Linked DNA regions of Coturnix japonica. The protein of the gene in region 1 purifies or fractionates together with the protein of each later gene. This does not show direct contact. Links are inferred from orthologs where the notes say so. Each region holds a gene or a part of one and is shown in the gene's direction. Other genes may lie near its edges.

What was found.
Region 2: the proteins of CASP3 (region 1) and CRYAB purify together in Homo sapiens (affinity purification with western blotting; 3 studies listed by BioGRID). This does not show direct contact. The link is inferred for Coturnix japonica from reciprocal best matches to the Homo sapiens genes CASP3 and CRYAB.

What each region holds. Positions count from the first base shown.
Region 1 is NC_029519.1:34,967,014-34,970,824, forward strand, and holds part of CASP3 (caspase-3), read left to right. Parts: intron 1-1,833; coding exon 1,834-2,009; intron 2,010-2,445; coding exon 2,446-2,563; intron 2,564-3,417; coding exon 3,418-3,644; 3' UTR 3,645-3,811. UniProt on the Homo sapiens protein: Thiol protease that acts as a major effector caspase involved in the execution phase of apoptosis. Following cleavage and activation by initiator caspases (CASP8, CASP9 and/or CASP10), mediates execution of apoptosis by catalyzing cleavage of many proteins.
Region 2 is NC_029539.1:5,449,270-5,453,705, forward strand, and holds the start of CRYAB (alpha-crystallin B chain), read left to right. Parts: upstream 1-1,455; 5' UTR 1,456-1,658; coding exon 1,659-1,856; intron 1,857-1,932; exon of another isoform or gene 1,933-2,866; intron 2,867-3,401; coding exon 3,402-3,524; intron 3,525-4,436. Other genes in the region: HSPB2 (heat shock protein beta-2), read right to left, coding at 1-40. UniProt on the Homo sapiens protein: May contribute to the transparency and refractive index of the lens. Has chaperone-like activity, preventing aggregation of various proteins under a wide range of stress conditions.

The sequences.
Region 1 (3,811 bases):
CTTTTGTGCCATGACTGTTGTCTCAGAATCCTTTCTCATCTTCTATCATCTTCTGAAATTTAAATGCAGAATGATTTGTTTTCTGACCTTTGGTTCACTGAAACTGTGAGCTGGGAAGAAACCTACTTAATTGGGTAGAAGGGTTCTGGGCAGTGTGGTCCAAGAGGTGTTCTTATCAACCGGCCAGAACTACAAGTATGTGGACTGAATTACTCTTCTAGGGAAGTAACTCATGTTTTGTTTGGCTTGTGATGCAAAACAGCTGTCTTTCAAGTGAAATCTTTATACTGTTGTTTGCATTGATCTTGTTTTGTTTGGACTTGACTACATCTAGACTAGTAAATTATATGGTGCCTGGAAGTGTTCTGTTGCTCTGAAATAGTCTGCTCCAGTAAACTGCTGGAAGGTTCTCTGGCACAACTGTGACACTCTTTCAAACTGTTTCTGGTCACAGAAACAGTTCAGCAGTGAAAATGTTCCAGGGAGTATTCCCAACAGTAAACTAGTCTGCAGCAACCCTGTTTTTTAAATATATATGTTTGGAAGCATAGATTTGGCTATTTAGTGCCAGTTAATGTTCATGCCAGAGAAGACTCCTAGGCTTAGTTAACTTGCAGCTTATCTGTTGGCAGAAGCTGAAAGTGGAAGGTCACATTCTCTTACCTGTGGTATACCTCCAGACGGATGGTGTAAACTATGGCAAAACTAGCTTTTCTTGACTCTTATAGATGTAGTGCTTGTCCATAGTTTATAGGAATGCCTGAGCATGCATTGTTTGGGAAGAATAAAAACAGTTTTTCTAGAATAGAAATTCAGTATTTCAGCAAGCTCAACAGAAGATTTCAGCTTTTAGGACTATGTTTTTTCTGTCTACTAATTCTTGCATTTTCTTGAGATTCCCACTCAAAATTCCTTTTGGATCTCTTCCTTTAAACCTTGTTTGTGTCTTTTCATATACTTGAAGGAATCATCTGGGTCATCAAGAACATACCTCACAGTTTCACATAGAACGTCTCTTGTTTATCGTTACATACCACAAGATGAAAAGCTTTATGTCATGCTTAAAGGTCTTTAAGTACAAAACACAGAAACCTGTAAAATCTTGCTAGACCTTCCCCATCCCTATTCAGGGGAATCCCTGGCCTATTCAAGGCCAGGCTGGATGTGGCGCTGGGCAGGCTGGTCTGGGGGGTGGTGACCTTGAACATAGCAGGGGGGATGAAGCTGGATGATCATTGTGGTCCTTTTCAACCCGTGCCATTCTGTGATAAATACAACAGAGCAATGGCGTTAGATCGCATAATTTAATATTGCTTTTGTTATAATACCGAATTCTTCTATAATAAAACTTTGCTTCTTGAAGGCAAGAACAAATGGAAAAGTATAATCTTAGTACCTAGGTCTATCTAGCATCATCAGTTTTCTTAGTACAGTTGCCATGTAATCCAGAGGTTTGAAATGTATGGAGAAACAAGCCTTCACTTCCCATCAGCCTGATCCCATTGACCATGTGAGTGAGGTGTATCATTTAAAATCTGAGATAGTGTGTGTGCTGAATCATTACCCCCAACTTACTCTGTCTCTTCACAATGTTCATAGCCATTTTTTCCACGTGGTCACGTTCTACAATGGGTAGGATCAGCCTTAAGTTTAGGATTTTCTAAGTCTGACTTTATGAAGTAAAGTACACCAGCTCCTTGTATTAGAAGTGAAAAGTGTTTGAGGTTTCTAGATCTGGGAACAGTTGTTCTTAATGAGTTCTGTCACATGGGAAGTACACAATGTCCAAAGCTTCCTGGAGAATGCAATAACTTAATTCTCTTTTCTTCCAAGTTTCTGAAGAAGATCACAGTAAGCGAAGCAGTTTTGTTTGTGTGTTGCTAAGCCATGGCGATGAAGGACTCTTCTATGGTACAGATGGCCCTCTTGAACTGAAAGTACTAACAAGCCTTTTCAGAGGTGACAAGTGCAGAAGTCTGGCAGGGAAACCCAAACTCTTTTTCATTCAGGTGAGGTACAACTGAATAGTGATCATCAAATCATAAGAATAATTCAGAAAATTGTTTCCCACTAGTACAGAATAATTATTCCTAAATTGCTTTATAGGGATTTACTTCCAGAATAAGACTCCCATCAGGTCTAACGTTGGAGTAGTCTGCTCCCTTAGTACTTATAATAGCTGAAATCACCTTAATTTGAATGAGTTAAGGTGGTGCAAAATCTTTCTGAATGCTGGCCAGTATTTCAGTGAGCTTCTGAATGTACTTTCATGTGAATAGCCATTCTAACCAAATAGGTTATATAAATAAATGCTAATAACTTTTCATATGAGTCTTTCTAGTCTAACCGTCTTCAAAGCTGAAAATATTGATAATATTCTTGTCATTACGATCATTGCCTTTTCTCATTTATTTTTTATTGTCCATTCCTCTTTCCAACAAATAGGCCTGTAGAGGAACAGAATTAGATTCAGGTATTGAAGCAGACAGCGGACCAGATGAAACGGTGTGTCAGAAAATACCTGTGGAAGCAGACTTCCTGTATGCGTATTCTACTGCTCCTGGTGAGAAGCCTGCAAAGAAAGGATTTGTTGCTCAAAGTGTATCTATGTATCTGCTTGCAGTGATGCTGGCAGTTGGCAGCCTTTTCCATGCAGTGGCTGATTACTCCGAAGTTTCTGATTTTCTTTGTATCACTTGCTGCTCTCATTTCCTAGAAAAAAGCTCATTATAGGTCTGTCTCAAATGTGAATGTGCTGCAGATTGATTTAATCTGAGCTGTGCAAATAATTTGCAACAGGAAAAAGGATATTATTAATTTTGAAAGAACAGAGCAATTGGACATCTATGTATATTTATATATATTATATACAGATGTCTGTATATTTATACACACAGAAATGGTGATAAACACCAAAGTATTATTTGGCTGTCAGCTCTATCTCATTGCAACCTAAGTGAATTAGTGGTATCAGGGCCCTTAGTATGCCCACTGCATTATCAATTATCAGGAATAAGGTCTATTTATCAGTTTATGCTTTTAGAGCTGAAGGTAGTGGCAGTGAAATCTGTTCTGCATCTTGGCTCTCGCTGTGCTGTCACTGCTCCTGCATGTGCGTATTCTGTAATGAAGTAGTAAATAATTAACGTGTGAGAGCAGAAGATAATTCTCCTGCCTTTTGATTATTTTTCACCTACCTAAAATCTTCTCACATTAGAAAAACAGATGGTTAGAAAAACCTTTTGGGTTGAAATTTGAAGGGACTGTCAAATCTAAACTTTGTTGATTAGGGGTTTTATTTTGTTTACTTTAAGCCCTTCTCTGCTGTTGGGTATGTTGTGTCATTCTATAACTGCTGTCCTGTCCTGTGTCAGAGGCTGCTACATCTGATCAGCTTGGTCTCCTTGTCTTCCACAGGCTATTACTCCTGGAGGAACGCAGCTGAAGGCTCCTGGTTCATTCAGTCTCTGTGCAGAATGCTGAGGGAACATGCCAGGAAACTTGAACTCATGCAGATTTTAACTCGTGTAAATCGCAGAGTGGCAGAATACGAATCCTGTTCCACTCGGCAGGATTTCAATGCCAAGAAACAGATTCCATGCATTGTGTCTATGCTTACCAAAGAATTTTACTTTCCTTGCTAAAGAAAATTGCCAAGTGCAATTTTTCACTTTGGGTTTTTATCTGTAATTTATACACTGTTAGTAGGGAATACCACTTTAGTCTGAATTACTGTTCACTGCCATATGAGGCACAACGAACTATCTGAGAGTTGGATATGTCCGTTGTTAGAAGTAACCCGTGGTATGGC
Region 2 (4,436 bases), on another chromosome or scaffold:
CCCGGGCCGCCTCGCCAGGGTGACGAGGGCAGCTCCTCATTGCATTCCTGTAGAGCTGCAGGCTCTGACTGCCGGCGGGGTGCAATCCTGCACCCCCTGGCTCTCCACCTTGGGCAGGGAACAAGAGGCAGGAACAGGGCACCCAGCACTGCCCCTGCCAACCCAGCAGGGCACAGGGCTATGCCTAATGGTGGCTGATGCTTGGTCAGGTTGTGTGCAGTCATGCAAAGTCATCGCTGTGAGTTTATCGCTCATATCAACCCCACAGAAAGGGATCTGTTTCCCCCAGAAGCTGAGTCTTTTGTTCCTGGGAGTGGTAAGGTGCTGCAGACCGCTAAGTGGCACTGAACAGGGTGCAGACCATGATGCTGACACTCCAGAACTGTGCCACTGTGAGCCAGCTGACCAGGCTGTGCCTTGGCCAGGGCTTCAGTGCTGCTCAGTGGGACCAGAGAAATGCCTGTGCTGGAGGTGGTGCATTAACCAGAGTCTGAAACTGGCCTAGATCCACTTTTACTAAACTGGGTGTTAGTACCCATTTAAGCTCCTTGTACTCTGAAACCAGAGATTTCCATGTCTCTGCAGTGCGAGAGAGCAGGTGCACTACTGCTGACGTAACATGGAACTGGATAAAGTATTTATGGCTGGGGCTTCTGCAGAGAGAATTCTACACCCTAATCTTGCAGGCAAGTGAACAGGAAGAGAGTCGAGCCCTTTTGCAGGGGACCGGTGGTGCTAGCAGTGAGAATCATGTGCCCTCAAGCCAGAAGTCTGTATTTAAGTTGCAGATAATCAGAGCTCTTGTCCTTAAAGGACAGCTGCTGGGCTGAACCCAGCCTCATGATCTGAACTGATAGCTGCTGGGCACAGGCAGATCAAGGTAGTTTGCATCCCAGAGAAGGCAAGCAGTGGTGCAGCTCTGCAGGGCTGCTGTGTGCCTGCTTTATCTCTGCTCACAGGGTGCTGGGCTCTTCTGCCCTCTCCAGCAGAGCGATTTCTCGAGTGGGCAAAGGACAAGAGTTGTCAGCTGATGCTCTGTGGAAACCATCCTTAGTGTGCACACACCAGCAGGTGCTCAGGTATGGTGCTCACCAGGCTGCAGAGCTGCACACCAGGGTACCTCAGCACAGACCTTTTGGGGTCCATGTTGCCCTCTCATTAAGGCCTGGGGCTTCCTTCACTTTAAGGGAAGGCAGAGCCCTTCCTTGGCGCGTGGGTGCAGTGGGGAACTGTAGCCTTGGTGCCGTCACTGGGAACAACAGTCCCTTGTCCTTTTCCATGTGAACCAAAGATAGGAGCTGCATTGATCCTGCTGGCATCCAAAGCAGCTGGGAACATCCGCCAAGCCTGCCTGGGACTCAACAGATAAACAGCACGTGGGGTGCAGAGAGGGTGGCTGGGCAGCTTGGCTTCTTGCTGTCCCATTAGTGTCCTTCTTCTCCCCTTCCCCCTCCTCCTTAGCAGTCTGTTCAAACCCCCGGACGCTCCTGGGCACTGCTGAAGGGACCAGTCCCGGACTGGGACAATAAAATCCCTGACACCACTATTTGAGAGGCCTCGGGGGGAGAGGCCCCGCCAGCCGCACGGGTATAAAGCTGCCCCCTGTGCTGGGCACAGCACCGCAGCAGTTGTTTGCTTGGCTCCTCTGTCGCACTCCGATGGATATCACCATTCACAACCCCCTGATCCGCAGACCTCTGTTTTCTTGGTTAACACCGAGCCGTATCTTTGACCAGCTATTTGGAGAGCACCTGCAGGAGTCAGAGCTGCTCCCTACGTCCCCCAGCTTCAGCCCCTTCCTGATGAGATCCCCCTTCTTTCGGATGCCCAGTTGGCTGGAGACGGGACTCTCAGAGGTAATCTTCCTTGCTTACTGTTTCTTGTTACCACTAGGTGCACATCCTGACGGGTCTGGAGCTGGGGACCCGGGAGAGCTGGGACACTGCTTGTAGGTAGTTAATAGGAAATCTATTATGAGGAAAAGAGTGCTGAGTTCTTGCCTCTGCTCCTTGGTGTTAGGCAAGGACCTCTGCACTCTCTGCTAATCACTTGTAACTGAGAGCAAATATTGCCACAGCCATGGGCACAGAGACAAACTGAGCTGTGTGTGTGCTGTGAATGACTGTAGAAGCCAGCAAGAGAAAGGAGGAAGCCTGATTTCTCTGTCTGCCCTGAAAAATTTTACATTCTGCGTCCTCCTGAGAAGCAGAGGGGCAGTGGGACCCCGTGCCAGGCAGCATGGGAGCCCCCAGATGCTGAGTAGAAAGGCCCAAGCTAAAGCATCTCTGCCAGGCAGAGCAGTGTTTTCAGAGAGATATGGGATGGGAGGACCTTTAAATGGCCATCTGCTTCGGGGGCTGAGGCACGCAGCTCAAATGACTTTGCTCAGCATGCAGGTCAGATGCCAATGTGCAAATAACTTAAAGAGTTACTCAAAGCCAGTGGAGTGAGAGGGAAGTATTTTCTTAATCTTTGCTTAATGTTTCCCTTGGTTTAGTCACCTGGTCTGGTCATATGCTGAAGCAGCCATAATAAGCACCACAGGTAACAACATCAACATCTGACTTTTTCAGTGGAGAAATCTTCACAGTAATCTAGCAAAAGGAGCAGGAAGCCCTCCAGGTAAAACTGAGGAAACCAGTAACCAGAAAGCTAGAACTGGCATGGAAGCTGCCTCCATGTCCCAAAACAGAGCTGCAGGAGGCTCGCGTTTTCCCTGACTGTGACTGCAGCAGGAAGGCAGAGACAGCCAGCCTGCATTGCCGTGTCCCACTGACTTATCCAAGACAGGCAGAAAATGCAAATTCAACCTCAGGAGCAAGCAAAAAGCAGCATTTGCTGGAGATGATAAAGTGCAGAATGGAAGGTAAGGATGCAAGATGAGCAGCAGGTGACTCAGAGTTTCAGCAGTAGCCCTGCTGCTCAGATAAGAGGGGTGAGCTGGTAGTGCTGCTCAGCTGAGACACGCTATTTTTGTTTTTAAAGAGTGACGACGCAGGGGAAAGCCTGCAAGTGACACAGATGAGCTGCAGCCAGCTGCACACTCTGTTTCTTTTTCCAGAAAGACTTAGCAAAATCCAGCTGCAGAGACTGGAAATCTCCAGACACCTCAGAAAAAGTAGATAGGAGTCAGTTTTAACAAATTCAGATTGAGAAAGTCTCTTTCTTATTTCCCAGAAAATATCTATTCTCTGTTTATCCAGAGAGAAAGCATCATGTTTTATGTGCTGTAGTGGTGGGCATGAATGGAACAGGCTAGCAAGAGCCAGATGAGAACCCCAGGACTGAAAACAGGAGGTCAGACAGTGCGTGTGGGGAGCCCAGCGTGAGCGTGACTTGCTGCATGTTGAGAGTCTGATGAAGCTGAAACCTCTGCCTGAAGTCGTCTCCTTGTTTTACAGATGCGACTGGAGAAAGACAAATTTTCTGTAAATCTTGATGTGAAGCATTTCTCCCCCGAGGAGCTAAAAGTGAAGGTGATTGGGGACATGATAGAAATTCATGGGAAACACGAGGAGCGCCAGGTACTTCTGTGTCACTGTTAACCAATGTGTGCTTCTTCACCTATGGTTAAACAAGGAAGCTGCAGAACAATCCTCCTCTGTGCTCTTCTGAAACACTTCCAGTGTTTTTGATCAACCAGTCCTAATGGAAGATGCTCTATGCAAACCCCCAGCTGATCCCAGACTGGGCAGCAGCAGAGTGGAGATTTAGTGCTGGTATTGCATGAACTGTGAACTGAACTGGAAAATCAACTTTGAAATAAGCATTTCCGGGCCTCCCTCTTTCTGGAAGAGGACAGGAATGCAGAGAAGCATTCAATAAGTTAACAATGAGCTGTAATAATTAAACCGCATAACGAATGAATGCATTGCCATGTTCCATTAGCAAGAAGCTATCTCTTCTTGAAAAAATACCCATTTACCAACTTACAGTCCTTAAAGGCTGTACTCTGCTGTCAGCCATCCCATTGCTTACTGGCTCTGTGGCAAAAGGTCAAAGAGAGGCCAAAAGCCACGTCCAAAGCTGTATGTAACAGGGATTACCTATCCTCCTATCCTTGCAAGAAGGAAACAAATCCTAAAGTACCTGTATCATTGTACCCATCAGCTCCAAAACTTCTGGGTGCCCAGATCTGTCAGTCAAATGCAGCACTACTCATAGACACTGGAAGCCTGTAATTCTGAAATAGCTTCTGCGGGGTTTTTTTTGTTTGTTTGTTTTTTGTTTGTTTTGGCTAAGAAATGAATCCAGAGCTAGAGCTGAGATGAGCTCACTGGGGAGCTGCATATGCTGTGGGCCCTGGAGACCCTCAGGAGGAGGAGCTGCTGGTTCTGCAGGTAGCTGTAACTCCTGCATCTTAGCCATGACAGCACAACACTGTGAAACGAAGCTGGCAGACACAAGAGCTGGAGGAGAAAGCCTCATCCTGCAAA